Lepisosteus oculatus: one gene and its partner. Each later gene encodes a partner of the first gene's protein in a complex. Links are inferred from orthologs where the notes say so. Each region holds a gene or a part of one and is shown in the gene's direction. Other genes may lie near its edges. The genes, in order: ctnna1 and cdh26.1.

What was found.
Region 2: ctnna1 (region 1) and cdh26.1 share a complex: the UniProt entries of both Homo sapiens proteins name them as parts of the cadherin:catenin adhesion complex. The link is inferred for Lepisosteus oculatus from reciprocal best matches to the Homo sapiens genes CTNNA1 and CDH26.

Annotation. Positions count from the first base shown.
Region 1 is NC_090706.1:36,608,800-36,624,479, forward strand, and holds the start of ctnna1 (catenin alpha-1), read left to right. Parts: upstream 1-7,473; 5' UTR 7,474-7,493; intron 7,494-7,563; exon of another isoform or gene 7,564-7,669; intron 7,670-7,968; exon of another isoform or gene 7,969-8,026; intron 8,027-14,310; 5' UTR 14,311-14,323; coding exon 14,324-14,428; intron 14,429-15,188; coding exon 15,189-15,384; intron 15,385-15,680. UniProt on the Homo sapiens protein: Associates with the cytoplasmic domain of a variety of cadherins. The association of catenins to cadherins produces a complex which is linked to the actin filament network, and which seems to be of primary importance for cadherins cell-adhesion properties.
Region 2 is NC_090711.1:8,683,554-8,700,015, reverse strand, and holds the start of cdh26.1 (cadherin-like protein 26), read left to right. Parts: upstream 1-9,079; 5' UTR 9,080-9,266; coding exon 9,267-9,323; intron 9,324-16,462. UniProt on the Homo sapiens protein: Cadherins are calcium-dependent cell adhesion proteins. They preferentially interact with themselves in a homophilic manner in connecting cells; cadherins may thus contribute to the sorting of heterogeneous cell types.

The DNA of each region.
Region 1 (15,680 bases):
CATAAGGGGCATGATGGAAAAGACAGCCTGCTATCAAATACCAATGTACTGTTTACAGCTTTCAGCAAGGGTCTTGACTGGTCATTCATTCTTATCTAGTGAGGTAATATTTTCCAGTCGTATCTCAATTCCATGACCTGTCATCTAGTCTTGGACTGCTGTATTCTCTCACGGTAAAATTCTTAATATCAGATTTTTAAATCCTAATAAATTTAGAATTTTATACAAAATTTGTAAACAACAAATTAAATTCTACTTTGTTTATCTTTCAATTGACTGTTCTTTCCGGGACATCATATGCTTTAAATAGCGTATTACAGCAGTAGACCTACCTTACTTTATATGATTTGAAGAAGCAAATTGAACATCACTGTATCCTGCTGAGTGCATGAAAAATGTATATGTCACCACTTTCCTGGGCTGTATCTAAACATTTTTCTTTTAATTGTGCAACACATTTGTTGAGTGTGTGTTTAAGAATTTTAAGCAATTTAGTTGGTTTTTCACCATCTAAGTTAATTTTGTCAGGTTTGATAATAAAGTCATGTTTTTATACTACACCCAAAGGGTGTGAATAATGTACCTAGGCTGGGTTTTACTGACATACAATATGGAATATTAACTCTCTTTTTTATCTACTTTAAATGAAACTAACAAGTAGCACAACGAATGAGTCTGTAAAGTGATTTTCTATTATTTATTTGATTTTATTAAGGCTTAGCTATATATTTTAGAGTTCGGTTATTGACTTCAAAATCTTTTAGTAGGGGAAAACAATGAAAAAGTGATAAGATGCTCAGCACTTCACACCTTGTGTTTTTGTTGATTTGTTTTTTACTTGTAAGCAGCAAACTACACCAAAGCACATTCCTTTTTATATTTAAATAACATCCGCAGCCATTTACAAAACCCACTGTCATCTAATTTACTCTTGGAAGGTCTCTGAAAGATCTGGCTTTTTAAGCCTTAGAAAATTCAGAACAAAACAATTCAGCACCTGAGGGAAGCTTGTAACAAAACTTTTTTGTCATGGAAGAGATAATCTCTTCAAGTTTCTTCCTTGAAAAAGCATTAATAAAAAAAAAAGCCCTGTTATGCATGAAAAATACAAAACTTCAGTTTGAGCAGTGAACATTTCTCGATATGACCACTAATCTGGCTATAATTTGAACTGGAAAAATCACGAATGTTCACTGAGAATAAACATAGGTGAATAAAAAGTCATTTTTTTTAGAATGTTATTAATTGCAATGATAATTTAAATTTTAACTTACAGTAGTTGCATTTTTAGAACTTATTGAGTTTATCAGTACTGTATTTAGAGAAAAAATAAGAACTCACATATTTCAAAATGCTTAGTAGGATTATTTTCCATAAATATTAGATTTAGTATTCCCTAAAGAACTGTTTGAATTTATTGACTGCATGTTTAGAGTAGATAACCCTATGCATTCATTTAAAAAATAAACATGTAAACTGACATTTCAGTAGACTTGTTGCTAGTCAAATCCACATTTACTGAAATAGATTTTTTTAAATAAACGAGAAATGTGATCCAGAAGGAAGATTGACTTGGAAACGCATCCATCAGTTCTTTTCCTCTCCATGCCTGTGAATGACTGGACTTATCTCACGCAAACCTAAAGACAGACAAATTTTAAATAATTGTGACTGCTTAAAATGCATTGAGGCTTTGTGGAAAAAAGCATCACTTTAGGCTCGTCTTTTAGGTAAACAAAAGTTGTATCTTATACAGTACATGTTTTGCATTAATGAGGATTGCGAGAATAGCATTAATAATCATTATTCTTTCAAAGTAGCTAATGGGATCATTTTCATAGTTTTACAAGGGATGAGTGTCTCAATCTGTTCAGCACCAGATTAGTAATTAAATCATCATGATCTTACATATTTTGGTTTTTATTTTATCCTAATCGTCAAGAAAAATTCCATGGTAATTTCATTACAGTAAATAAAAACAGTACATTACAGTAAATAAAAACACATTCCAGTGCCTACAGAAGCCACACGTAACATTATACTCCTTTTCAAATGGCCAGTAGATCTCAAATGTACCATATGGATGGTGACCTTCTGTGACTGAAGCTCTCACTTCTCTGGCCTAGAAAAGCATGCAGTACTTAATCATTTCATCTAGTTTCCTTTAGATAGGCAGGATCTAAAGTTTCTAATTAAACTTCTGTCACTAATACCTCCTCGTCCAATTCAGGGGCTCAGGTGAGCCTGAATATATGCAGGACATACATACTATGGTACCAAACCCGTATACAGTAGATCCATTCCCCCCCCCGTGAAAACCTGACAGTGGACCCCTTCAGGACAGAATTGGAAGTGCAGCAGCTACATGGTACTGGAAGTCAGAAAGCAGAAACACAATTCTGTACTGTGCTCCCCAGTGGTGCTGGGGACCAGACTTCAATTCACACTGCCTTCTGCTCATAGGAACATAAGAAAGGTTACTAATTAGATAAAATAATTTGGCTCATCTAGTTTGAATGATTGCTATAGTAACATTAATTGGAAGGAAAGCCTTCGAGAGTAAACCTGATGCTTCAGTCAGTGCCATGTTAATGGACTCACAAAGATTCATCCTCCAGGTGACATCACAGAACTAAAAAAAATGTAAAGTCCAGACCACACCCATAGCTGCTCATCTGTGCAGAGCTCATCCTGGTTGCTGTAGTGATAAGCAAACTAGACAGTGCGTTACTGGTCTCCAATTCTGCAACTGGGTGGACAGGAACAACTGTGGTACCTGGCTTGTACCTCACTTAATGGTAAACAGCAATACCTGTCATAACCTGTTATAAGTTCGATAGTTTACCCATTTCACTATAAAACACCCATCATAGAAGGAATGAGATCAACAAGCCCCAATACTTCTATTTAATCTAGTAAGAGTAAGAGCCTGACCAAGGATTCTGTAAAATTTTGAATCTGCTGTGATTAGGATTCTATTAAAAATCTAAAGCCTGGTCTTGTAAAATCTAAATGAAGTCCTGTTATTGTTTAGTTAAATTAGAATTAGATTTTTAGTTCAGGAAGTTTATATATATCTTGTTATGAAACTGTTCAAATTTCTTTAATTAGCAAACAAAAAACAAAAAAAAAGATCATGGTTGCAATCTGACATAAATAATTTTATGTGGTCTGAATGGAATAAACTAGTTAACCGATGCTTGATCTACCACACATAAAATCTGAAAAGCTTAGTAGCCTGCATTCTCCATTTAACATCTTCAGCCTGTGACAATATTTTTAATAAAGAACAGATCAAAGAATAAGAGCGAGTAGGATTGCCTTCATAACTTGTAATGATCTTTATTTTTAAAAATACCTTTCATGACACAACATTACAAGGTATTTTACATTAACACAAAACAACCGTAAACCTCTAGCAGTTTATAAAAAGCATGCTTCTTAGCCTACATATCAGGGTTTTCAAGAAGATATGAAAACTGTTCAAACATCATGTGTTATTAAGCAAGAGACATAAGGAGGATTTCATTCACAAATACAGGTATTATGCATTTGAGACCACAGAAAATACTAAGCTACTAGACTACAGGAACATATGCATCCTGATTGCAGAAAAGTACTCCTGTGATTTTTTTCAAATATGATACTCCCTGATATAGACATCTGCACTATTAATCAGTTCACTAATTTTACAAAGCAATTGCACGCAGCTTTCATTATACAGATGTATGAAATACTGCACTGATGAGACTCGAATCTGCCTTTGATGACACAGTGAATTTCAAAGCGGCTTGTAAATGGCTTTCAGTATTTGTCAGCTGGGTGTGGTGCTTCCATTGAGACCATTTGAGATTCAGAAGCCCAGAGCCCATTAAACACAGACAGAACACCTTCAGACAAAACTAAAAGAATCCATTGGAGTGTGCTTTTATATAATATCGATTTTGTATTTCAGATGAAATTTAAAGCAATCCTAGTGGAATTTTCAACTCCATACTGTTCTATTCATTCAATTTACTTGGGTGGAATAATATTCCCTTTTCCATTATACAACCCAAAGCCCCTTTTAAAAACTAGGATACAACCTATTTACATTAAATAAATTCACATTTTACAGTGCTCATGCACTCTCATTACACACCCATGTAATTGTGAAGTTTGTCCTCATTAAACCCCTATCCTGAATGCATCGAATAGCTGTTTTTACAGGGGGTATCAAGTTTCAGTTCCTCATTAATCAGAATGAGATAGTGAGAAACAGTTCATTGTAACTTAGTTGACTCAAGCCATGCAGAGGGAACTGATTTTAAAGCAAAATGAAACTGAATGGTACTATAATCAGTTATTGTAAAATTATATACATTGCTTATAATTTTCTTTATAAGCAATGTAGACTTCTTAGCGTTTACATCATACAGTAGCTCTTTATTTAAAATAGGCCTTTTTTATACCCAGCAAATTATTATATATTTTACATTAAACAAATGCTGGATTGAGATAACAACGATGTTTTTCAAAATAAACCATTTTCATTCAAATAGGAGGTTATTGCTTCAGTCCGAATTGTCTAAATCCAGTGCAAAAGCAAAGTGATTGTTGTGTTTTACCTGTTCCCACATCATTATGTCTGAGCTATTAATACACTCTTTCATCCACAGATGTCGAAGTTAGATTTTGTCATGCCACTGTTTTGCCTTCAGTCCTTAATTGGTATTACGACCTATGGCTTCTGGCTTTTTAAATTTATTTATGTAAATTTATTTGTAGAAATGGAGCAGACAATTAAATGTGACAATAATTTCAACCTGAGAAAAAGATGCCCGTGCGTAATTAAATTGTTAAAGCTGTCAACCTTCTCCAGCACAGATAAACATGACATGAGAAATGACCATATTACATAGTAAAAGGAGCAAATGTTTGAAGAAGGAAAAAACACAGATACAGTGATTAATTTTTATGTAGAGCCATCTCCTTCTAACATATCATTTCTACCAAGCCTCTTATGTGTGTGCTCTATATCTATTTGTTTTTTATTTTTATGTTAGCTCCTAAAAATCCTTATACTGTCTATAACTGCCCTAACTCCATAAAATTCTAAATAAACACTTAGGTTCGGTAGAACACTTCAATAAATTTTTATATTAGAATTTGTCGGCTTTAATGACTGATTCTTTATATACTTGCTACTTGCTATACATGAACTGCCTGCAACATTTTAAAATCAGTTTTACAGCAGATAATACGCTTGGAATAGAACGGTTTTAGAATATGGTGGAATAAAATTAAGAAAAGGCAGAATAATATGTTGCCGACTTGAAGTTGGTATAAAAAAGACAACTACACTAGATAAATCAAGCAACCAAGGCAGCAAGATTGTAGATCTCTTTCAAAGATACAGCCACAACCTCACTTATACTCTATTTTGTCTAGTTAGACTGTACTATTCACTTGTTTCACTAATTTACTACAAAAATAAGTACTGTAGTACAATAAGCTGAGAAAGTCTTCCAGCTTCTGAACGTCTCAAAAGCTTTCTGGTTGTGTACTATAAGCATCTGTGACAAAGACACGGTTTTTCTCATGCAAAAAGGTCATGACTTGTATAAACATGCTTTCGGTGCCGAAACAGACATGAAATTATTCTTTCATAAGAATGGAGGCCTGTGAAGCAAAATAATGCATAAAATCAAAACCAACTGAGTTCCGTCAGTATCACAGGGAACCAACACTGTACTGTAAATGAACAATCTTGACAGGTTTCAAAATAGAGGTTTCTTGAAAGAGATAATTGGTAATTTCCTTTGGACCAGACACCTTCAAAAGCTACTGCAGGCTGTAAGAAAGGAGGACTTGTGTAGTTTCAACCCTCTTACTGACGTGTGTATAAAGTATTTGGGCTATTTAAAGAATAATGCCTCCCCGCAATGGTAAAAAAAGAAACATAAACTGATTGGATAAAGAAACAGCTCATAATTGGTGATCCCTTTAGATACAAAAAAGCTTCAATTAAACATAGTTCTCGCCATGAAAATGCAAGAACTATGAACACGGAACAAAGATGTCATTTGTCCTCTTTAAGCCTCCTTTGATGTAAGACAGGAAAGAAAAGAACTTGAATCATTTATGCCCTATTGCCAGATCTACAGTGCTTCTCAGGTACTCTCCTTCTGTTCTCATAAACGCACTCTCTGTAAGAGGCTAGAGGCTCTGTGTGATGTAACTCTGTCTTCCCACTGCAGTGACTCATGAACACCTGCCTTATCATACAGTGTTGCTTCATGGGAAGACAGTTACCCATATGCTTGATTCCTCCTCCTCCAGTTTCCCCTGATTGTTGAGTTCCAACTTTGATTTATTAACTGTTTCCTCCCGTTAAGTGTTTTATTTTAGTTTCTCAAAAAAATAAAATCCAACCTTTGTGAATCAGATTGTTATTAGCAGAACGAACTACTGCAAAGTTTTTATTTCTCTCAGATGTTCTTAGTCTTAGCGTCTTCATTCACTTAAGCATTGAGAGTCTCTCCTCCCGTGCCTCAGGTCATCAGACTACTGAGAATATCCAGCAGTTTGCCGAAATAGATATCTTGTTTTCTGCCTTAGGGAAACTGCATTTCAGTAGTTACAGAGATAGCTTTTATTTGCTGACATAAGAATGCCTGAGGATCTAGTACTGATAAAAAGTGCAGTGTAATTGTAAAGCTCAGGAATTCATCTAATATATTTACATGCAACGTTTTGGGTGGAGGGTGATTGTGTATGGAGGGAGTGGTGAAGCAGATTGAGTTCTCTCAGAGCTCATTTATCTTATCGGTGTGGCAGGGAGAAACGTATTTGCAAAATAAGGAATAGCATTGAGTATTAAACTGTTATTCAGCTCATTTTGGCTTCAGGATGTAATTATGCACACGTTTTATAAAACATGAGAAATGTATCTCATACGAGCACTTTTAATCCTTGTAGGTATTTAAATATGAATTTTGGCGGTTTCTTTCTAAAGGCTCTTAGCACTCAGTAATACAATCACAAATCATTTCAATGAAGATAATCAAAGCACATAAATGACGTAACATCACACACAATTCAGACGTTTAGCCGAAACTGACCCTAAACTGCTTAGTCCTCCTACACGATTAAGTTTTAAGTGCATTAAAAGCGTCGTGTTCAACAAGCCTATGTAAGTCTCGGTGGTTTATTGTCGTCTACGGGAATCACGAGTTGTGAACCTCCGACATCACAATAAAAAACCGAGAAGGCCTCGGGATTTAAACCACACACGCCTGACAGTCGAGTGCACGGCTGTTTGGAAGCACGGAAGGTAAAAAAAAACCAAACAAAAAAAAAAAGAAACAGAACATGCTCACTCCCGCAGACAAACTGCACCCAGCGTTCAAAAACAGTAAAACAAACAAAACACGTCTTGCAAACTCCAGGCAGCGAGCCGCGACTTGCAGACACCTGGGACGGAGAGAAGACGTCATCGCGGGAGCCCGCAGGTAAGCGCGGAGCTCGGCCACTCCCCCGGCACACCTGACCGCCTGGGTGTGGGCGCCTCGCTGTCGGTCACCGAGTCACTGCCTGTGTGTTCGCCATTCCGGGAAGGAGTTAGCACCCCCCCCCGCCCCCTACGTGGAAAAGGCCAAAAAAAAAACCTTGGATAAAGTTCGAGAAGGTAGGGCTTGTTTTTTTTCTTTACGTTTTATCCCGAATATAAGAAACGACGTAGGCGAAGGTGCGAGTTAGCTGACTTTTCGGAAGTTTATTTTCTTCTGGGGAGGGTGATTCAGGGATTCAGCAGCAGCAGCAGCGTAGGAGTGGCGTGTAACAGCCGCGCTGATCCCATTTCCTCTCGGAGTTGGGAAGTTTGGTGGAGCGGAGGAGCACGGGCGAACGGGAGGGATAAAACGACGGAGTAAAAAAAAAAAAAACTTTTCACGAAAACTTCAAAACTGAACTTTTTTTGTTCATTAGGGTTTCGTTCCAGGGGGGAAAAAAAAATCGCAACATCGGAAGCGGCGTGTGTTTCAAGGTACGCATGAATCGTGTTTTGAACAATTGTAGCTAGAAAAGAGCAACACAATCGTTTGTTTTGAAAACAACGCGATAGGCAGGGTTCATCCATTTTGACTGTTTTAACTTGGGAGGGTTCACCGTTTTATTCGAGCTTTCCTCTAAGCGTTGTGTGCTTAAAAACCTTTCCCATTAAGCACCGTTGTATCTTTTCCGACAGTAATTCGAAATGTGAGCATAAGAAGTCTATTTTAGAAGCACGATTGACTTAATTGTTTATGGGGAAGAATGGCTTCTCCATTTCATTTCAGGGCTGCCCTGCCTAAAAGTAATGAAGTTTCAGAAGGGAAACTAAATTAGTGTTTTTTTAAAAGTCACGTTTTACGTGTGTTCAGATCACGTCCTGTAAGTTTTAGTATTCATTTTAAGTTTAGGGGAATGCTGGTAGTTCTTACTTTTTGACCCCCAAAAAAACATGCTAAGCACAGACTTAACCACAGCATGAGTTTTAAAAAAGTTACTCAACAGGGTTGAAACACGCTCTGCCTCCGACTTGTTTCTTTTTTTTATCCTGCGGCTTTTTAAAAATAAAAGCGAAGCAATGAATTTGTACAAATTTCCCATTTTTTTTAAAGGACCAGCGTGTGAATCGCATGAACTTTCGTGCGTCTTTTTAAAGTAGGTCCGCCCTACCATCAGACTATGTAATGATGTTCCCTTAGCTTATGTGTTATTTTTTTTTAAAGTTTTGAGCTGGTTACTGTACGAACGTCGGTTCTGTTTCGAGCCTGCACCCCAGGGCGATTGAAAGTTAAATTAACATGGCCCAGGATACTCCCATGCTGGTCGGGTCCGTGTTCCGCCCTTCATAATCTGGGAATGATCCACCCTTTTTACTGATTTCATCAGGAATGTGCCAAGCCGCTACCACCTGTGTTGTTGTCTTTTTTTGTACTTCTGTTGTCTCTTGAATGTTGAGACGAACCAAACCAGATACGCCACATCTCCCAGAAAATAAAATATACGTATATTTTCGTGGTGGGGGTAGGGTTGGGCTGGGCACTCATTAGGCAAGAACTTCCGGTTGTCCCAAGCGCGTAGTAATGCTGGGTTTCCCGTTTCCCGATATACCGTGTCCTTTAATTTCAGTATCGTCCTCCGTTGCCCAGTGTTTGCTCTGTGGGTGCTGCGATATCAGGCCAGCCTCGGTGGTCAGGGGTGGTTTTTAAGTCGGACCCTCTACTGATGGTGAATTTGAGTGTCCCCGGTGTAATCACTTCTAGCAAGGCTGCAAACGTAGTTACGGTTTTAAAAATAAAAGTAACTCGGAACAAAATACTGACAGTCCTCCGTGCTGCTTCTGTATCAAATTTAGCGATTGGAAATAAGACTGAAAAAGTTTTACATACTTCCTAGGCAAGTAGGCGTTAGGGTATTTAACAATCTTTACGAGACTTTCAGTAAATAAAGGAGTGATGGACTGTATACCGACTCCACCTGTCTAGTATTTTTCCTGTGTGTAATGCGAAGTCTGGCTTTATTACAATAGAAACATCTAACATTTGGTTACATTTTCGACTAAATGTCTTTTAATTAGTTCAATTTGCAATCATAGCTCCTGTTTATTAACACTTGTCACTGCTAATCGGGTTTTGAAAGCGTGGGATTTATCTGGATAAAACGTGGCTATTGTGAATGCTCATCAATTCTTAGAAAGTTATTTATATTAAAGTTGCTGCCCTCTCGCTTGTTTCTAAATTGAATTCTGAACAATAACTTGAAAAACATTTATAAAATAATAAAGACTATTGTAAGACATGGCTAAAAACGTACACCTGACTAAGCTTTTGTCAAGTTCAAAGGAAATTTCTGATAAATTGGAGTACTTCTCCACAATAGAGTTTGCAGACTTAAGTCTTCAAATCAAATGTCTGGGGAAGGTTGGAGGCTGTTACAAATGTTGCAGAAAAGTGTGTCCTGGTTCATCCCGTTACAATAATAAACCATTTTTAAGACAACAGAAACTTATGGAAATACCTGGGCCAATATTCAAACTTGACCCAAACCTAGCTACCTAAAATGAATTTCAGATGGCTCTGACCCGATGTGGTATTTTGTAAGAAGGGTCTGGTTTGCCCATAACTGTCCACAACCGATTAGTAGGTTTGAAATTGAAAGGGGGTGGGAGGGTCCAATTTGTGATTTAAGGCAAGCCTTGGTTTTTTACACTGCTCCTAAATTGACCTGTTTCACTGCACTGTGTAGCCTACCTGTATTTAAGATGTGGAAGCTCTGTATCAGGAATATCTTTGCTTGACTTTTGTGTAGCGGGTTAATTTGCTCCCTGTGTGTGTTCAAAAACGGAATAAATGAAGTTCCATTTTTATGTTGTAATCCGTTTAGAAATTAAGAGGTGGGAATGTTCAATTTCTGAATTTATCCTAAGTAATAAATCAGGGTGGCATTTTTTTGTTGGGTATTTTAGCTTTTTCCCCTTCAACTAAGACTGTAAAAAAAAGTTTTTTCTATGTATATTCACTGTCCAGCATAGTAAAAAAGTTTTAAAGTCTGTAAGTGGTCTTACTAATTTAACTTTTCCATGTCTAAATATATTTTCTGTCCCCTACAGTTATCCAAAATGTAAGCCCATCAGAGCTCCTGAGGCTTATGTTATACACAGACGTGTAACATATTTGCACAGCAGATGATATGGTAATTGGTATCTGTTTATTAGTTGGTGCTGGTAAAGTGAGTGTGGAATCTGTTGTGGAGTTTTTTTTTGTATTGGACCTGCTGCTGTTGGGCAAAGTGCTTCTCCTGAGCATGTGTCCTGCCCATCGGACCACCCCTGTCAATCAGCTTGGCTTCCTAACAGCTGCCACCCCCTGGGGGGCTTGTTGTCCTTGATATCCAATGCATGACGGTTAATCAATGAAGATGCGGCTGTCGCATCTACAGCAAATCGAAAATGAGCATGAAGATTATTCTGCTGTACCTAATAACTGTCATTCTCTTTTAGGGATGTGAAACATTTAGGCTATTTGGGAAGTAAACTCGTTAAATTGATTTTTTTTTGAGGGCAAGCCTTTCCTGTTTTTTTATATGGTCCCCAAATTTATGAATTGTGGAACTGTGTTAAGGAAATTGAGTTTTTCCGGAACCCTGAATTGCTGGGAAAAATGGGTACTTTGACCTTGTGAAGCTTTTTTAAAGAAAGTTTGTATTGTTTTATTGATCAAGTACGATATCGAACTGCTCTTGCTCTTCCTTCTTCGGTCTGCTTCAGTAGGTAGGTGATTTGTTTTTGTAGGTAGTTATAAATAATATGCTTTTCAGAGTTTTGTCTCAGATGTCCAAGGGAAGCTATGGTTATTCTGTGTTTCTGATTTTTGCCGGTGACATCTGATATTACTCTACAACAAGTTGAACAATGAATGTAGAGTCATTTAAGGTGTTGGAACAGTAAAAACTAGTGTACCCTGTGGCACAGATTCTGCCAGCATCTGAGAAAGTCAGTCAGCTCCTTCTGCAGGTGGAAAAGTCTGTCTAGGGCGACGTTCCAAATGCTTGATGAGGTTACGATGTGGTGACTGAGAATGTCATGGCATGGATATGGATTTGTGCTCTGCTTGTGGGGGGACTTGCCACCGTGAAAGACGCCCTTCCCAGCATAAAAGAGACGCTGCATCATGGGATTAAAATGTTTGCTCGTTTCTGAATGATAATTGCAGTTTATCACGGACTTTGCCCTCTAAGGAATGACCAAAACCAATGCCAGGAAAATGCCCACAGCTTTATGGACCTGAACCTTTCAGTGTTGTAAACGGGCACTCAGGCCTGTAGGTTTGTCTGTCCTGAACACAGTGAAGGATGATTCACCTGAGCACGTCACATTTATTCACTGATCAGTGGTCCATTGCCAGCGCTCCCTGCACCACTGGAATCGAAAACATGCATTTCCAAGAGTGGTTAGTAATATTTGAGCTGCAACCTGACTAAAGTATCCCACTCTGTGCAGTTTACAGTGAGCATTTTTGATCAGCCTGGCACGCAAGCAGCCAGTTTAAAGTTTGCAGTTGATCATTTGTGTTTTGCACTTCTGTTTTGGATATGATGATCCTGGAGTATATGCTTCTGCTAACTGTTGCCCTTTTCTTTCTTTTCTGGAAATTCCACGCTGACCTCACTTTATGAAATTGCAGATTCACGAAATTGCAGATTTGAGCTGGCTTGTCCAGCTAAACAAGCCCCAACAATTGCCCCCTTTTCAAAATGACCGAGTGTGTTCACTTGCAGCCATGCTACTAGCCATAATTATCGGCACCCCGTCCTGTTCAATGTTATATAAGAGTGACCTTAAACATGCTGAGAGGTTATTTGCTTAATTAATTAAAGAACCACATCAATCTTTTTGTCCATGATCTGTATTCTATTGTACGTTGTACCAAAAATAAATTTTAGTCTGTAATTTGTTTTCAATAAGCCTGTAAGATTTGAAGTGCTCAGTAAATGAAACTTGTACCGGACATTAGGCCCAACATTACTGGAAGCTTTGGTACAGCTAATGATTTATTTGTAAAACTGGATTAAAAACATGCTTTAAGTTCATGGGAAGAACTTGTGTTGTGTGGGTTTTAATTAAAATGGTTTAGTCTTGATACTATGAAATGTAAGGCTTTTGCTTCTCCTTAACACACCCTAGGTTTAGGTTGAGTCTGTTTATCTAAAAGATAATTGAGCATTGAGTTTTTTTTGTAAACTGCTTCATGTGTACAAAACCTCTGCTGGTATTTAATTGATATATTGTAGCCAAGTCAGATGGACCCAGGGTAGTTACCAAGAATGGGCTCCTTACGTAAGATCACAGGATAATTCTTTTAAATTAATTTTTAATTTCTTAATTGTTTTTGGAAATGTACATTTAGACATGTTGTTTTTTCAGATTTGTCTGGAAGAAAGTTACATTTTTCACTATCATTGCAAATGGTTTCTGCCACAGTGCAGGCTGCATAAACCTGTTTTTAAATTATGGACTTTTTTCCCTTCATCCAGTTCTGTATAGCTACAGGCAGATCTGTGACTGATTAGTACTAATAGAAGACAGCTGGTGCTCCTCATTTTGTTGGAAGTCTCTTACCACAGTAGTGGTTCTTAACTGTTTGAAAACAGTTGTGTACTTCCAAGCAGAGCCACTTGTGATTCCTCGGCAAAAAAGACAAATTTCTTCACGCTAAAAGTAATTTGTTTTCTGGATGCAATGCCTGTCTTAATCCTCCCATGTCTATGAAAATAGCTGTTGCAAACATCCTTTGTTTAGCTAAAGGATATATTGAGTTTTGCACCCCCACTATTTCTGACAGTTGTGGGTCAGTGGAAAGTGCTTTACTCCCTGTGACTTTCTTCTCATACCTCTGTAAAAGCTGAAGTTTTCAGATGTAATGTGGGTTTAGTCTTGTTGGCCAGCATGACCTGTTAGGAGCAGTCCAGAAGTGCAGTTAAGAAATCATGCACTTAGGTTCTGCAGTTTACATGTGAGATTCCCCACTCATCAAAATTTTAATTAGGTGTGAGAGAAATGTAGATTAGGTAAATTTGCTCCACATCTGAATATTGGTGAAATTCGTTTCTGAAGTTGCTGTTGCAGGTTTCTCCCCCGGTTTGTAGATTGCTTTTCAGATAAGCTAATCAATTTTAATTGTGTAGGAAAGTGTCACGACTTGCTGCTGGAAGCATATCTTCTGATCGGCTTAAATTGGTCTTTATAATATGGAAAACTATCCATGTCTGCCAGAGGATTTCTGCAGTATTTCACGCTGCAAGATTTCTCGCAAACTTCAGCATCGGCTTTGAGTCTTCTTATCTTGTTTAAAGTGCAAAAAAGAAGTGTTAATTTTTTTTAGCTTTTATACATTATTTCTTCGAATCCCCAGCTGGGAAGATGGGGCTAAGCAGCCTTAGGCATATCTTGCTTAATGCTTTAAAGTGGTTTAAGTCTAAATGGTAATTCAAGAAGTGGCACACAGAAGATGAACTGCTTTTATGGCAGCACAATGCAATAGTTTGGATTCTATTTTTATTTTAGATGGTAACTTTTGAAGTTACAGATGAGAGAACCATTCATTGTTTTTGTTGCTTTTATGCTGGTAAACTTTCATCCAGGTGTTTTTTATGGTCTGACCACTGCTGCTTTTCCAACATTGTTATATTGTTAATGCTTTATTAACCTTAAACTGAAGGTTTTTTAATTTTATTAAGAGATACCATCCAGTAGATGAATAACCAACCTGCCTGCTTCCTTTTCAGATACTGGATTAACATGACGAGCATTAACACAGCGAACATTAACTTCAAATGGGACCCAAAGAGCCTGGAGATCAGGACTTTGGCTGTGGAGAGGCTGCTGGAGCCCTTGGTCACCCAAGTAAGAATTTTACTTAAGGCTCAAATATGCACTGTATAATTCCAGTTCATGTTGCATTTTAATTATTCATCTATCAACCAGTTTTAATTTTGCTTCTTACTGCATAATTGTGGTTGAACTAATTCCATGAACTTGGCTTTATTAAAACCGAAAATGACAGTTTAGTGGTATGCATTTGGGGATGTTGCCATGACTACTGTCCTTTAATTCATATAATATTACTATTCAAGATATATATTCTTTCATAGGAACACAGTAAGAAATGGTATACTGTCTCTGAATTGATAATCTCTGAACCGGTTTTCTCCTGAAAACTGGGGTTGGGAGAAGTTTCTCATTCTCAAGAGTACTAGATAAATTCCAGAGCTTTGTAAATAGTCCCAAAAAACAGAGGAAATGCTGTAGATTTCAGCCACTGGTAATGTGGTGCATGAGGAAAATGTTAAAGACTGTCAAGTCCTGTTTGCAGCAGTTTTCTTTCTGTTTAGAGATGCAGTCTTAGGACACTGCTGGAAATTTTGCCTGAGTGCTACTTTTTCACGATGTGCAGTTTCTGTAATATCATGGGTTACGTGGAGCTCTAATTGCAACCAGTCTTGCAGGCTCTTTCACGTCCTAGTCTTTACAGAGGAGCTTGTGTGAGTTTGACCCCAAGTATCAGTTTGTTCTCTCTCTAGTACTTTGTAGGGATAAGGAATAAGGCATACAAAACTTGTCCCTGACTTCTGATTTTGAGGAAGAGTGAATGTTCTTCTTTCAGGTCACCACTCTGGTGAACTCCAGCAACAAAGGCCCGTCGAACAAGAAGAAAGGGCGTTCCAAGAAGGCCCATGTTCTGGCTGCCTCAGTGGAGACGGCCACGCAGAACTTCCTGGAGAAGGGGGACAAGATCGCCAGGGAGAGTCAGTTTTTAAAGGAGGAGCTCACGGCTGCGGTAGAGGACGTGCGCAAGCAGGGTAAGAAACAAGGGTGCGAATACTTGACGCGGTTCACCGGGCGCTTGGATCCCTGTCCTGTAATCAGGCTGGGAGGTCCAGCTGCACCAGCCGAGCAGACAGCTGAATTTGCCAGTGATAAAATAACGTAATCCAAAAGTGTTTTTCATTGCTACGTGAAGTCACTGCTCTCGAAATTGGGTGCCTTCTTTACATGGCTCATTGCTTTCTGAGATAGGTGGGGTAATGTCTGGCCAGCAAAAAATAAATGTTCCTTGACCTATGACAAGTTTTTTTTTTAATTTCTTATGTTCTTT
Region 2 (16,462 bases), on another chromosome or scaffold:
AAGCCATGCTTCAGAATTTGCTTGGAATTACAAAGGTGAGTCTGGAGAGTTATGGAACAAAGCGTTCCAAACTGATAAGACCAAGATAAACCTTATAAAAATAAACTGATGCAAAGGTGGAGAAGAAAAGGATGCCCCAAAAGACACCACCTCATCTGTGAAGCATGGCCTAGCCTAAGCGAAAGTAATTGTTCTGACTTTGCTAATACCATTGTTGGACACTGTATGGGTCATGTGTAATCCTTTGCTCTGTTATACTGGGAAAAAAACAATGTTTCTCTTATTTACTTTGTATAAGCAAAGTTCATAATAAAAAACAGAAGATTAACTGCTGAGCTGTGAAGTGTCCCTAGTTTCATTTTTAAATTCTTTTGTGGTAGGCACTAGAGCCTAATCTTTCTGTACTAGCCTTCAAGTAAAATCAAAACAGAAAGATATATTGTATGAAAAGTACTATCTGTTGCTTCTACAAGGGTGTATGAGGAGTAAAGTTTCAATGATACTTTTGCGGATGAAAGAAACATACTCTTACTTACAGGTGTCCTAAGGAGAAGGATCAGAGATGAAAGATGAAGAGATTGGGTGCAATATTTTTTATCACAGAGGCTCAAAGATTGGTGTAAGGAGCAATACTTGTACATAAAATCATGAAAATTAAAAATACCCGAAAGGACATAAAAATCTACTTGCGCCCATTGTCAAAAAAGATGACAAGGAACATATTTTTCATTGTTACCAGGTGCCCCAGATTGTGTTTTCTTTTCCAGCTTTGCCCCTTAGGACAGAGAAACTTTATATAAGGTGCTCAACAAAACATTCCCCTCAGGTTAGCCAATAATACCTATGAGATCATTTGAAATGGCCAGATCTCTCTGTTTAAGAGTTCTATAGATATCACTGATACCAGAAAGAAAATTTATTAAGGGACTGTAACTTGTTGCAAGACAAAGTACTGTATGTGTACTGTAACTGTAAATACACCTTTGGCAAAAGGAAGAAAGTACAGTTAATGCATGTAATATTAGATAGGTATATTAAGTATATTACATACAATTATATTCCACAATTAAAAAAAAACGATGATTAACTACATACATTAGTGTTTTTCCAGAAAGTACAGATTATATCGCTTTAATTAAAGGGTTTTATTTTACAAAATAAAAATGCTACTATTAAAGCATTCATATTTTTGCCAAAGAAATCATAATTCATTCCTTCCAATAGAATAAAAAATACTTACAAATGTAGTCATTTTAGCCAGAGATTTAGTACTAGATATTAGTTGATTCTTATGAAACATTTGGTTTCTCACATTCTGCAACCTGTTTCATCTGGAAGGGCTTTAGTTTTACGAGCTTCAACTTTACAAGTTCTTGCGAATAAGATGATTGATTACATACTGAATTACCAATGATAATGATAATAATAAAAATTGTGATCATGAAGATAATGATGATAATGACATTAATATAGCAGTAGATGCAGGCAATTGAGTGTTACAGTATTTTTCCCAGAAACAACCAACAAAAACCCCCATGGCAAAATTACTAAGAATACATATATACAATATAAGAACCTTCTGATAAAACTAAGACCATGACCATGAGCGATCTATGGATCAGTGGGTATTCTCCATATTTAAGATTTAAGACATAATATCCAACATAATAATAATCAAGTCTTAGCATTTTTTTTCCAAATCTTTTGAGGAGCGTTTTTTGCTTTGATTAAAAACAAGTAAAACAAAAGTGAAAGCTACTCAATAATGTGTGATCACCAGCCACAATGAGGAAATGTTGTATACTTTATCTAGAAGCATTATTATGCTGAGATTATTTCTTGATACTGTATATTGCAGAAGTATTCATCCATCTTCAAAGGACCAGACTTTGTTCAATCACATGGGCAATATAAATTTTCTTTTTTTATATCAGTTGCTCTTGCACTTTCAATTTCTATAGGTCAGGTGCTGGTTGGGGGTGGAAGTACTTTTAGAATGGAGAAAGGAAGGACAGCAAAACCCCATCACTGGCCAAACATCCTGTTATGTGAATATTTTTTTATATATTTCAATGTTTCAAAACAGAACAACCCAAATACAAAAAGCTAAATTTACCTCAGCATATAATATCCCTTTCCACTTCCTTACAGTAAAAAGAGTGGTACCTCCGAGGAGATGCCATTCAAAGTAACGCAGAAATAGAATCACACACTTCTTGGACAGTACTGAGCAGCAGCTGTTGGTTTGGACGAAACTAAAAGGTGGCAGGTTCAGATCCCTGAAGAGAAACTACCGTTGTACCCTTGAGCAAAGGTGCTTTCCCAATTTGTTCAAGAAGAATAACCAGCTGGATAACTGAGCACAAATGGAATAAAAGCATCAGCCATTGAAACTAGTAATAACACTCAAGTGGAAGTATCACAGTACACTAAAAATCTGACATATCCATTTCGACGTTCCGTACCTCAATCTACCTATCCCCAACAGACAAGATGAATCTGGGTGATAGTAAAGCTCCCTATAAATAATACCATTAAGGGCCAAGACTCGTTGCTTTCAAACGAGGACATGCAGAGGTTCCCAAAATGTGCCAGCGTTTAAGCCACACTGAGGCTAGCCCATAGATCTGTTTCTAGAAGTTTCTGTTTCTGCCTTGATTCCAAGTAACATCTGAATCCTTAAGCAGGGAGCAAATATTGACTGGAATTCCTACCATGTTATTCTACAGGAGATCAAGTTATTTTAACTCTATCTGGATTGAATCTAGTTTGTTGTAAAGCTGTATTTCCCATCTTAGAAGTTATTTTTTGGCTAACATTATAGACAGTACTGACATCGTATTTAGGAAAACTGTAGGCTGGAGGTGAGTGATATTGGTGTTACGTTTATATTATAAATTCTTAGATTAAGGGAGTCTAAAGTGCAGTTTAATCTTTGCTTGAAACTTTGGTGTGGCAATTTTAGGGACGTGGTTCTTACACATCATATTAAATCTATCCCAATCTCCAGCCCACATTCTAAAGGCATTTGATGTGAGACTTGAAAGCTGAGACTTTTGACTTGACCAGGGACCATTGAATTAGATACAACTCTGGATTGACAGACAGGTAGTAGTTTGTTTTTGTCATTTGTTGTTTTGTATTTATTGTGTATTCGTAACCAAAAAGATGGTGTACATATGGATAAATAAGGTGTTACAGGACAAGACGAAAATAGACGAGTGACGTAAAATGTGAAAGAGGAAAATGTGAGAATGCAAATCGTATTACATTAATTGAACTGGGCTTGCCTTTTGGAATAATTCCAAGAACATGTCAAGAAAAAAGTTGTTAGAGATACCCTGGGAGCTGGAGATCATCATGACATGATCAGCATGTCAAGGTTTTTTTCTAATTAAGGTTCTTCATTAAGTTTCTGACACAGTGATGGATAATCAGGAAAGACAGGTTCAAATTAAGCAGGAAAGTCTGGCAAAGAATGTGACAAAAACCACAGTTAGGTTGAGAACTGGTCAATAACATACCACTGTGAACCACTGAAAGCAACAGAGTCTATAGGTGTGGTTTAAAGGGACTCTGTAATGTCTAAGAGAGGAATTAAAAGACTGAGATCCAGATATATTAGAAATCACACCACTTCAGGTAGATTTGTTTTTTTTGTATTTGAGATTCAATCAAGCAATGCCATAGTTCATGCTGGGAACTCACTTTAACCTATCCTCACTTTAATCAGTCCTGTTCATGTCAAATGTATTACATGCAGGATATGCAGGTTCAGTGCAGTTCATAAGTCAAGGAAGTACTGTAAATCAATGATGAGTAAAACAGGGTAACCACAAAACACAAGGCACATCATTCATTTTATTTGTCTAATAAAAAATGCATTGCATGGGCTCTCTCTACAGTATAATTAGGGAGAAGGGCAGTTGATTGCATACACAGGTAACATGTGAACTGTACCCAAATCCTTAGTCAGGAATGAATGGAAATATGCACTACTTTAAGCACAGCCAAGAGGCTAGAGAAGAATACAGTAAACACAGGGCTCTTCTTCCATTATCTGCCATTCAGGTACCAGATACTTGGGGTAGGGATGGGAGAATCATGGTCAAAATTAGAAGCACACAAATGAATATACCAAAAAATTGCAAAAGCACAGACACAAAAAGCGAAGTAAATTTAGGAAGAATAAGCTAAGTGATAAACCAGAAGCACACAACAGATGGATTTTCATAACAGAAATATTTCAGGTCAATTGTCCCACTCTAGGCTATCCCAGCACTGCCCATTGTAAACATTGGTCTGTTGTAAACAGTGATTACTTTATTGCCCTGCAATATAAAACCTTGATTTACTACCGAAGAGGACTTGGCTCCACTGCAGGTTTAGTCACAACAGCTCACAACATCCTGGAGGTACAAAGGCATTACACTCTTGTTTAGCACGGCACATTAGTTCCTTTCTATGTTCTGTCTTGTTTAATTTTTTTCTGTCCTGGCAAGCCTGTTTCCATTACCTGTTTCCAATGAACTCTGTCACTAATGAGACAATTCAGCACACGTGCAAGAGTCAGTCAGTTCAGTGTATCAATGTCAGTCATGAACAATTCATTAATCAATATGACATTAAAATCATTTAATCAGTATCCCAAACCTGTATAGTTTCATTTTCTAAAGACATACATGCTATACTACTGTATAAATGTAATATTTCTTTACTTGGCAAATGTTCTGGTGATGCAGTACAAGTCATGTTTAAAATTGATCAGGTCCTTGCAACTCTCAACACTGAGATGCAAGAAATATTTCTTAGAAGGTAATATAGTATTGCATTCTTACAAATTGGAAAGAGCCATTTTTCTAAAATAACAATTAAGCTGTAAAACTCTGAATTAAACTCTAATACGTGGTTTTCTCACAGTCGAGGGATTTTTAACACCTGAATCAAGTGGCTCTGATGCTGTGCAGACGGTGTGGCTGTCTCACAGCACCTGGGTCTGGAATTCTGGACTGGGATGCCTTCTCTCTGGAATCTGCATATCCTTTCCACTCTACGAGTTTCGGCCAAGTGCTCTGCTTTCCTCCTATGGTTCAATAACCGGTTAACTGGTGTCTTTTATTGTTCTGATGTGTACATGTTTCTTGTGATGAACTGGTTTCCGGTCCAGGAGCAGGCAATACTGCTCCTTTAGGGCTGGTGTGTCTGTAGGTATTATAGATCTTTTCCAAGCACCAGCACTTGAAGAGCTGTGAGAAGTTGTACATTCGCTCCATTAAGCCAATATGGAGTAGATGCGTATTGTTAGAATAAAATCCTGCAGACACACAAACCCCCTGAGACGTGGATTTCCCAGGATAACTAGGTGTTGTCTGACCTTGCCTCCAGCATCTTCTAGGCTAGCCCCCCAGATAGCAATCACCTTCCTTAAGATGATAGCTGTGGATCACGAGTAGACGGAAAAATGGATAACTACAGCTCCACGGTTTTGGAATTTCTTGGAAGTGAGCGGCTTTTGAAAAGCAATTCGATTCAAATAGAAATCTCCGAACAAATCAAGTTTGCACATGACATGTACAAATGAAATTAAAAGGTCAGTCTGTTAGAAAATCAAAGTGAAAATAATGACTCATTATGGCATAAAAAAAATAAAAAGGTTAGCATTACCAAAGAGCCCTAGGTCTTGTGGCGGCATATACGTTTGAAAGAAAAACATAATTAGAATAATGTACCGGTAGCTGTCTGTGTCTACCATTTTAGAGATTGTATCTGAATACAGAGAAAGCAGGATACTCCACAGAAAATAAAATGTTAAGGCGATTTGCACAATTACATTGATGGTCCTTGTTTTCATTGGGAGTGTACATTTTTTTAAATAGCTTGTTTTTTCCAAGAGATATATTTTTTTTGTTTTGTATGGAAACGCTAATTCAAAACACATACAATCAAAGAATTTGAAATTATTTCTGTCCCATCACAAAAGTTTACCATATAAATTTATACATCTAAATATTAGAGGATATGATCCATGGGAGTGATCTCTCCTGTCTGACAGTGGGTATGGTGCAGCATGTGGTACATTCCTGTAGACTGTAAAGTAGTAGCAAACTAGGCTTTTCCCTAGTGCAGTTCCCTAGTTAGTACTGTGGTAGTATCACTACTGTGTCATCCTTGTAGTTGAGTTTATCATTTTACCACTTTGCTAATCAGTGAACACTTTCTGGAATCCTATCCACAATTTATTTGTTCTGTATTCATCACTGAAGCTAAATAATAAGAATATTCCTGTTCATTGAGAAATAAGTTCCATTACAACGACCCTTATTGTAGTTGTGTTAATTCTGCTGCATCCTCTCCTTGTGTGTTTTTTTTATTTTAAATACTATGAGAAGCCATCTTTGAAGGTGCTATATAAGATACGGTTTATTATAATTGTTATGGGTTTAAAATTTGTTTGTTGATGAATACTCACTATTGCTATTTCTGCAGTGGTGTAATGTTGTATTAATGATTTTATTTCCACTTAAGAGTTTTGCTTTTAGTTTGCTGATTTATGATGAAGTGTAAGCAAACATGACAGAACAGATCACCATGGTCAGAACGGTTACATTCTATTTCCAATCCTGGCACTTAATTACATTTTTTTTTTCACTCAGAAGCCTTGTACATCTACCCAGTGGAAACCTGGCACAAGGCATCATTTTTTATGAGTTCCCATTGATGGGTGGGTTAAAGTTTTAATGTACTCCAAGGTTGTTTAATGTTCTCCCAGTTTTCTGTCCATACATGTATATAGACAAATGTACTGTATGCAAATTTAACTAGAATGACCCATTGCTTCTGTAATCCCAATTTGTTCAGATTTATATTGACTGTTAGATTTAATGAGTTTTACAAATTACAGATTTATTAACCCTCTTCACATGGACAACAACAATAAAAAGCTTTTCGAGTCAAAGTTTTTCGGTTAAATAATGAGGGAAATAATGGCCTCTTTGGTTTAGATTGGAGATTTTTATTGCACAAAGGCCTGACATGTCTATTTATTTGTTCTCCCAATTCTAAACAATACTGAAAATATAAATAAAATTTAAAATGCCAGGAAGAATATTTTTCAAAGAGACATTTTGAGGCATTTTCAAATTTGTACACAACTGTACTTTACACAAGTCATACAGTGCTTGGAAAGTCACGATTGTGTATAGTATAGCTGTTGTTACTTTATACAAATCATTTCATTTTCATTTCGATCAATAACATTTTAAAATACTGTATATTGGAGGGAAACTGGATTATAATAATTTTAAATAATAATACATGAAAAAAACTGGGCTTCAAATAGCTATGGCATGTGTCATTGTTAGAGTTATACAGTTATAATGCAAAGAAATGAATGTGGGCTGAGACATGGAGCTTTGTTAATCCCTTCTAAAATACTGGAGATACATTGAGAAAGGTCAAATCAATGCTGGATAAACTTCATTCCATCTGTAGAGTTGGAAACTCCTTCTTAATCTTCTTACTCCTTCTTAATTTTTTGCCGTTTTTGTTAAAGTGCTATATTTATGGACACCAACTGGTGTAAAATTAAGTAAATTACTTTCATACACAATCAAAACTAAAAGAAAACCATTATGTCCAATGAAAAAAAAACAACATAACAATAAACTCACTGCCAGCAGTGAAAGCACGGATTGTTTTTCACAATGTTTTCACATATTCTGAAGCCCCCTTTCTTCCTGGGCGATCATTTTCACTAATGGTGATGGGGATTCCACTGTAGGTCCCACCAGTTCTACCAGTTTTTTTTTTTCAATAGATCTGTGGATTGTGGATTCTACCCAGAGAGGGTGAAAGATGCATGTCTCTTGCTCCTTATGTCAATTTATACTGTACAGTTCATTGACCACCAAGGACAGAATGTAGTCATTTCAATAGGGGTATCCTTATAGTTTGGTCAGTGAGTATACTGTACTTTACTGCTCTTCCTCACCTAAGTTGGAAATGCTTGAGAATTGTACTACAAACAGCTAAGAGGATAAACTTCCTTTACCGAGGAACTTGTGATGGATTAGTGAAGATATTTTTTCTTCTCTCTTCATGAAAACCATCCCACTACTCTTAAAGAGCAACACATAGCCCCTGTCAGTTCTTCCTGCTCATTCAGATTTCACAGAACAAAATCAATGAATAATTAAGAAGCAAAATAGAAATTGTGTTGAATAAGAAGACGAAAGAAGAACAGTTTGTCACAGTTTGTCAATCCTGAGAATGGCTTATCTCTAGTGTTTGATGAGTGACAATCTTGAGCTAGTTCATTGTATTTTTTAGGATCACATTACATTGTGCTCCAAATCTAATCTTTATAAATGTGTTTTTATTCTCTACTAGTATTAAATATAATGAATATTTTATATTCAAAATTGAAATACAACCAGTTATATAAAAAAGAAACACAATTAAATCTTAATATACAGTATCATTATTAATAAATTAAAGTATATTAAAACAAAATGGTAGAAATGTTACCAAAACAAACGTGAATTGAACACTTTCCAAAACTGTTTCCAAAATAGACGAGCTACGTCCACTACAGAACAGTCAACTTAGAAAACAAGACATGATATTTAAGAGGCTCATCATTAAGACACAGTGGAAATAGCTGCCCGATTGACCAATTTATTCGAATTTGTGAATGATCACTGTTTGGGAATTCAATTTGGAATAAAAATAAAAGCTGGCATTTTATCCACCATTTCTCATAGTTATCTAGAAATGTGAATGAGTTGAGTTCCAGGTTACCTGCACCTAAATTAACGTGCCATATTAAATATATTTGATCTTCCCCAAACTCATTAATTATTCCAACAACAAATCTCCCCCTTCCAAAAAAAAAAAACCCTAACAAAACAATTAAATATGATTAATTTGCAGTTCATGCGCTCTCGATTTCTCAACATGTTTGTCTAAACCGGTGGTCCTGCGTCACCTACAGGGATTGGTCAAGAAAAAGACCTTTCAGGTTTTTCCGGCTATGAATATTCTGTGTGTAGGGAACATTTTACAGAAGTCTGATTGCTCCCCAGACTGTTACAGACATTAAAGCTACGGAAGGCGTGGAAAAGTGACTCTTGACTTTGATAGGCTGCTTCCAGTTGGGGACTACAGTAATTCACACACACACACACCGGTTAAGTGGAGCACAAACTTACAGTCTTGGTTTTCTGTTTCGTCGTCCACGTATTAGTACAAGTTACCACTGAGAGAATATGCGTGGATCTATTGTCTTTTGGATGGCAAAATGCACGACTCTTCTCCTTTTAACTGTAAGTACAATATTGTGTCCATTATAATGCGACAATGTAGCTTACTTTCGTTACTTTTACAATTAATGGATGTTACTTTACGACTGCCAACATAAAAGACAGCGAAATATGTTAATTCTGATGAACAGAGACGCAATGATTCGAAGTGTTATGTTCCACAAAGTTAAAAAAAATAAAAATAACTGTAGTGCGTTAATGCTGTTTTACTGTAAGTAGCTTTTATTAAAATGTTTTAAAGCTGTATAACCCAGCAAGTGTCGGACCCTAGCAAAATACATCAATTATTAATGTCTCCACAGGTAGCACATGGAAAGCACAAAAAAAAAAACATTTTAAAATGTTTTCCCCCACAGTCGATCTAATTCGACTAACGATAAAACTTACTAGTAAGGTCGTGAAATAGCATGAAATAAATTATGACGACAACGATGATAATTGTATAAGGAAGAATCCTGCACTGCATTTATTTCTACGCATTCGCGATAAAGGTTGTCTCAGTACTGTATATAAAACCTTTCACTTATTGTTTCTATGATTATTTCATTGGAATACTTATTGGTTGTACAGTTTCAGCAGCTGTTGATGTATTTACGAAAATATTAATTCAGCTGTTGCAGAAACATGTCTCCTGTTTATGTGACCTACAGCTACACCAATTGTGCAAATTCTCATGAAGTAGTTTACCTAGACACTGGGCAGTACTCCAAAACCTAGAGTGAATTTATGAAATTCAGGTAAAATGTAATTCATTTGTATCTACAATTCTATGAAAATATAAGTTCAATAATATTAAAATTAATAATGATAGGGCCGGTTATGGAAAAGCAGGTCACATATAGTATAGATATGAAACTAGATATGAACTAGATATGAAATACATTTATATTTATTTATAGTCATATTGTGCAATGCGACTTTTTTGTGTACTGTTCTGTTCTGGTTTTGTTCTGTTCTTTGTGTGTTCTGGACTGCGAGTAACTCTTCTACTGATTGTATTGTATGTATTGTATTATTATCATTGTATCATTCATTACACTGTTGTCTGTGTTAAGATGCTGTTGCACTGCAATTTCCCTCACGGGATCAATAAAGTATCTATCTATCTTTATACTAAATTGTAAGGGTGAAATTTCAAGTAGCACTTCCGTGGAATTTTATATTGTTTGCGACTTGTAAATTTCAAAAAGCTGTAAACTATTATGATTATGATGTAACTAATTTAGCAGCAGAAAATTGAGTAAAACATTATCTTCCTTTGTTCCTTAGTTGGTCAAAATAAACAAATACTTTCATTTGATAAACTCTAAATAACAAAGCATTCCTTACAAGGTACAGAATATAGTCAGTATATATCTCTAACAATCGTTTTAATTGTTTAGAACACAATGACTTCTTGCTAGAATAAACAAGTATCTGATAAATGTGTTTTACAGATGGCTTAAAATAGTTTAACAAAAAGAATTGGTATTTATATGTGGAAATGCATTTTTACCACATGAAGGATTTAAATAATAGCTGAAGTAAATACTGTAGATAGCGAGATAAAACAGGATTGATACTAGAAGAGGAAGAATAAATAGTACTGTAAATGTGCTGATTTGATACTTCACTCAACAATTCTAACAAAAGCATACATGCTCTGTATATCACAAATATGTCCCAAGCCATACAAGGTGTGTTGTACGATGTTTAGTGATAATAACTGACACTGAAGTATTACAGAGACCAGGGCATCTTACACCAAATTTCTGTTGATGGATGGCATTTTCCAGGTTGTATTTAAGAAAATGAAGAATGTTATTCATTGACTTTAACTAGAACATTTCAGCTGCCACTATGGATGAGGGTATACCCACAGTTTTGCAAAACTGAGAATAAACTGTTGTGGAGAGATCAGTCTTACTGTTGTTACTGGTAAAATTATGGTCTAATGATATTTGGATCTAAACTACAAGCATATTTACAAAATGATATCAGACAACATGGAATTAGAAAAGAAAGATGTTTTTAACTGACATTTAATATCTCTGTGCTGCAGGGATGCATTTTTGGTCTAATTGGTTTATATTGATGATTTACAAGACTCTGGTTAGCAATCTAGCTACATTTGCAGATGAAAACAGAGGGAGTAGCAAACAGAAGCAGCTTCAAAGCTTACAAAAACCTTTAGATAAAATCATGGATTGAGCACACATGTATTGTAGCTAATGGAATTTAAGATTGGTAAATGCAAAGGACTGCATAAAGGAAGAGGGAATATTTAGTATACATATCATATGCGTGCTAAAGAATTTGTAGAAAGCTAGATATGAAAAGGATTTAGTTATTTTTGTGGATTTATCTTCTCTTTAACACAATGTGGGGAAGCAATAAAAAATAAACAGAATGCTTAAGAGACTGCTTTGAGCAAAGATTATAACAGATTAGTAGGGCTTCATTTAAAATACTGTATTCAGTTTTAGTCACCAAACCACAAAAAGAATATTATAGTCTTAGAAAGAGTTCAATGAGGAGCAAGAAGAATCATCCCTCATTTTAGGGAATTGTGAAATATTGTTGTTGGTATAAACAGGTTTCCCAGCCAAGATGTTGAATTTAGTTGGAATTTTAGATTAATTTCGTTACTAATCTACCAAAGAAAATGTGCAAGCACTGTTTATTTTAATAGCCATGTGACATAAATTCACCAATATCTTATTCTGTCATGCAATTTTGCAAAACTTGTCAGCATATATTTTAAAAATGGAAATAATTCTTTCTTAAATTGTAAAGCATAAATAAAGAAAAGTAAAACAATTGGCATTGTATATATTCAGTTACATTTCCAAAGTTCTTCCTAAAATCTACAAAGTGGCATTAAGGAGAGCAATTGCTTGTTTTTTCCTTTAATGTTTCTTCTCTTTTGTCTCCTCAAGGCAAAAGATTCACAGAATCTGAGTTACCAACGAGTTACCATTTTCTGAACTTTACTATAGAAGTTTTTAGGGTCTTATTCTCTAATGAATAAGCCGTGTTGAGAAGAGAATAATGTAGCAAATTCGGGGTCTTGAGGTTTCTGCTCTTGCCACTGTTCTACTCTCGCCTCAGGATCAAACCCAGGTCTCCATATTAATAAATATGAGGCAAGAACGAAATACTGTAAGAAGGAAAAGAAAATATATCATCTGACATTAAAAACTTGTTTGATAAACCACTGTATGGATCTATATAATTATCTGCAACAAATTATGTTTACAGAATTTGGATGAAGACGGTAACACACCTAGCAATTGAGCCTGTAAACCGGTTAGTCTTTTTGGTCCTGTAATTGATTATAATCAGTGCCTTGAACAATTTACATGTAGGTGTGTTTTTCAGTTATAGCTTAGCATTGTGTTTAAATGCTGTCTCTTTTAATTCCCAGCTGGAATCCTTCAGGTATCTTTGCTTTTAGTAACATCTGGAGCTGAGGGAGAGTTTTGGGTGAAAATACTAAAATGAGGTCAATCAAGAGTTGGCTGCTGATACTACTGAGCTCCCATCAGAACAAAAAGAGTTTGTAGCTACTTAGATCTTGACAGATTGTCTATACACGGGGTTGCCAAAAATAGTTTGGGGACACATATACAGTACTGGAAATAAATATGGAAGAACAATAATGTACAAATTTAAAACGATTAATTATCAATAAGTTAAATATTTGTTTGTTGTGAATGTTATCTAATACATCATTATCCTGACATTTTATGTGGTCAGCTGCTGCTAGAAAATTGCCACAACACCTGAAAGCCTATCCAGGTATAGACAGTAAGGCAGTTTCATATCTGTAGTGAACACTTTGTCTTCTGGGAAGGAAATGTCACATGAGAAAAAGCAAAGGTATCAATTGTTGTAGCTAATAAGTGATGCTTTGGCAGACTTTAGTCCAATTTATGCAATATTCTATGAAGAGTACTGTTTGTACTCAATGAGTATTTTCAGGATCTTCTAAAATAGTATCAGTGGCAGTAGAAGAGGTCAGGCCTCTCTGCATGAAATTGATGATACAACAGAAATCTTGAGCATACTGTACCTTCATGCAAGCATAGGGCTTTCATCAGGAATTGTCAGATACATAAGAGCTTAAATGGTTTCAATTAGCCAGTTTCTCCACAGACACATTCACCTTCACTGATCAAAGATTTTGGATCAGAAATCCATCCACCTGTAAAGCATATCATGAGGCTTAAGCTACTCCTGGATTGCTTACATGGATGGATAGGCACCTTCCTTAAAAACACATGTCTTGAATGAGAAGTACAATTTTGAACTTTGCTATGATGAGATCACCCATACTGATAGTACCTTGCACCTTACTAGAAGAGTTCCTGGGTTGGTAAAAAAAAACCTGTCCATTAGCAAAAGGGTTTATACAGTATTTACTAGTTAAATTGTTTAGAAACATGAAGTAGACAAAAATGAATAATTAACAGTGTTGGAAAAATAATAAGTGAATCCCTAGTTTACTTGGCATAATTAAAGGAGTAGTAAATAGAATCAGGTGGTTAAATAATTGAGTAACAAGTAAACATGGACAGAGTTTATACTTCATGACATGATCAAAAGGGATTTCAGAGGACCTTAGAATAGGAGTAGCAGATGCTTATCAGCCTGGAGAAGGTTATAAAACAATTTCTAAACATTTTGGAATCCATCCATCTACTACATCTAGATATCATCCAGTTATCCTACCAAGATCTCTAAAAGAGCCACCGGAAAGTCATTCAGGAAATCACATAGAACCCCAGAGTAATATCCAAGGATCTCCAGGCTTGTCTCACACTGGCTTATGTCAGTGTTCATACCTCAGTGATCAAGAATAAGCTAAACAGGAATGGTTTTCATGGGAGAATAGACAAGAAGGAACTATTGGTCTCTAAAAAGAATTTTGTTGCCTGTCCCAGACTCTATAATAATACTGGAAGAATGTTCCCTGGATAGGTGAGTCAAAAATTGAACTTCTTGGCCACAATGAGAAATTTGGTATAGTGAAAAACAAAAACTGGCTTCTAGCAACAAGCATGACTGTAGATGTATCAAGGTTGTAGGGTGCCTTGCCAGCTCAGGATCCAGACAGCTTGCTACCATTTACAGAATCATGAATTCAGCATTGTAATAGCAAATGTTGGAGGAGGATGTCAGACCATCCATTCACCAGTTGAAGCTGTGCTGACACATACAGTAGCAAGACAATGATCATAACATACAGTACAACATTTACAACAGAATGGCTGGAGATCAAATCTCATATGTTGGATTGGCCAAGTCAAAGTCTGGACCTAAATCTCACTGAAATATTATGGCAGGAGTTGAAGCAAGCCATCCACAAGGAAGCCCTCGAAAACAGCTCTCTGATGTTGGCCCCTATACAAGCAGCCTCAACAATGAAACCCACAGTATTCGTTAGTGCTCACATGACTGTCTATAAGGAAGTTTACAGTTGGTAACACACTTTTAATTGCTGGATGAGAGGATTACAACACCGGCATTGTTCCACCTGGACCTTGTTGGGTAAAAGTGCACCTAAAGAGCTTTCGTGTGGGAAATAGCAATGCCTCACTGCACAAGCTGTATTGCTGGTCAGAAGGCTTATAACAAATGGACAACTTTTTGTGAAAGTACAGTACATAAGCTACAACTGTAGTATTCTCATTCCAGAAAATGTTGTGTTTCTTTTTTCCACTAGTATATTAAACTCTTTAAAAAAGCACAGTTCTTCATAGAGTATACTCATTGTAACATGTGTTAATAGTGGAAGATATTGAAAAAATGAATTTGGCTTATGTACATATCACAGCTTGTTTTTTAAATGTTTACATCTGTAAGGAATGTACACTTATTAACTTTCAGATTTCTTTGAAGCATGCATGAGCTTGCTTTAAATATCTTACAGAACAAAGATAATTAGCATTTTGTATTAGTCATTCAAGGCTGACATTACCCACAACAAATCTGACTTACCGAATCTTCTTGGACTCAAGGAGGTTACCTTATTTGAAGGAAGTGTCTAAAAATGTTCTTAATCAATAAAGCCTCTTCGATTTTTAGCAGCATATTTTCTTCTGTATATTTTGAATATTCCTATCATATTGGCACAATCACTAGATGCTGTTCAGCTTCTTTTTACACACTAGTCAATAGTCACATCACTATTCACTAGTCAATAGACCCTTTACATTGAATTTCAACTTACGCATGATCTTAAAAAATGTCAACGTTCAAAACAAGCCATAAAAATGCTCTTAATTTGATTTACAGTATGTGTAATTGACAATGTTTTTAATCTTTGATCTACAAAATTAGGATGATTGATAGTAGTTCTGAGCTCTGGAAGAACAGGTTCCCACAAAGCAACCTGAGATACAATGCCATCTCCTTGATAATAATGACAGAGTTTTGTACATTGTTTTGGAATTGTATTCAGTTAGGCACACCCCTTGTCTCTTAGGATCTAGCTTCTTTTATCACTAAAGCTCTCCTACGGGTTAGTCTAAGTAATGGGCACCACACCTTTACCCTTAAGGGCAGGGAACTTTCAGTACATGCTCTGCATGGATGCAAGACAAGGATGTGAAATAAAAACTACAGTTTTAAATACCTACAATAACATAAACATCTTGAACTTGTCATTTTTATGGGAGTTCCACATTTATTCCTCTTATGAATGCACACTTGATTCAGATCTGATATCTACATGTAAGGCAAGCTAGATAGGTGCCCAAGTGCACAAAGTGCCTGGAATTAGCGGACTGACAGACCTAAGGTTGAGAGCCCCTAATAAATGTTTACATTCCTGTGGGCTGGCCTTGCCTGGTCCTGCAGAGATGGTGTATCTGAAGGACAGTTGAAATTCCTCTTAGACCATGGTAGTTTTTCAACTGAAATAATATTTTGTCAAAAGGGCTAGTTATGAAAAATATTATATCAGAGTGAAGGAATATACTGTATATAGTACTGTATGTTGCTTGTCCTGTCTGGTTTTTACTATATTTTCTAAGTAGCTACTGCAGTAATTTCCCTATAGTTTAGTTATTGCAAATTCACTCTTGGCAAGGACCTCAGCTGAATACATTAATAATACTGGGTTCTGAGGAAAAACCTCATGAAATTATTATTAACAG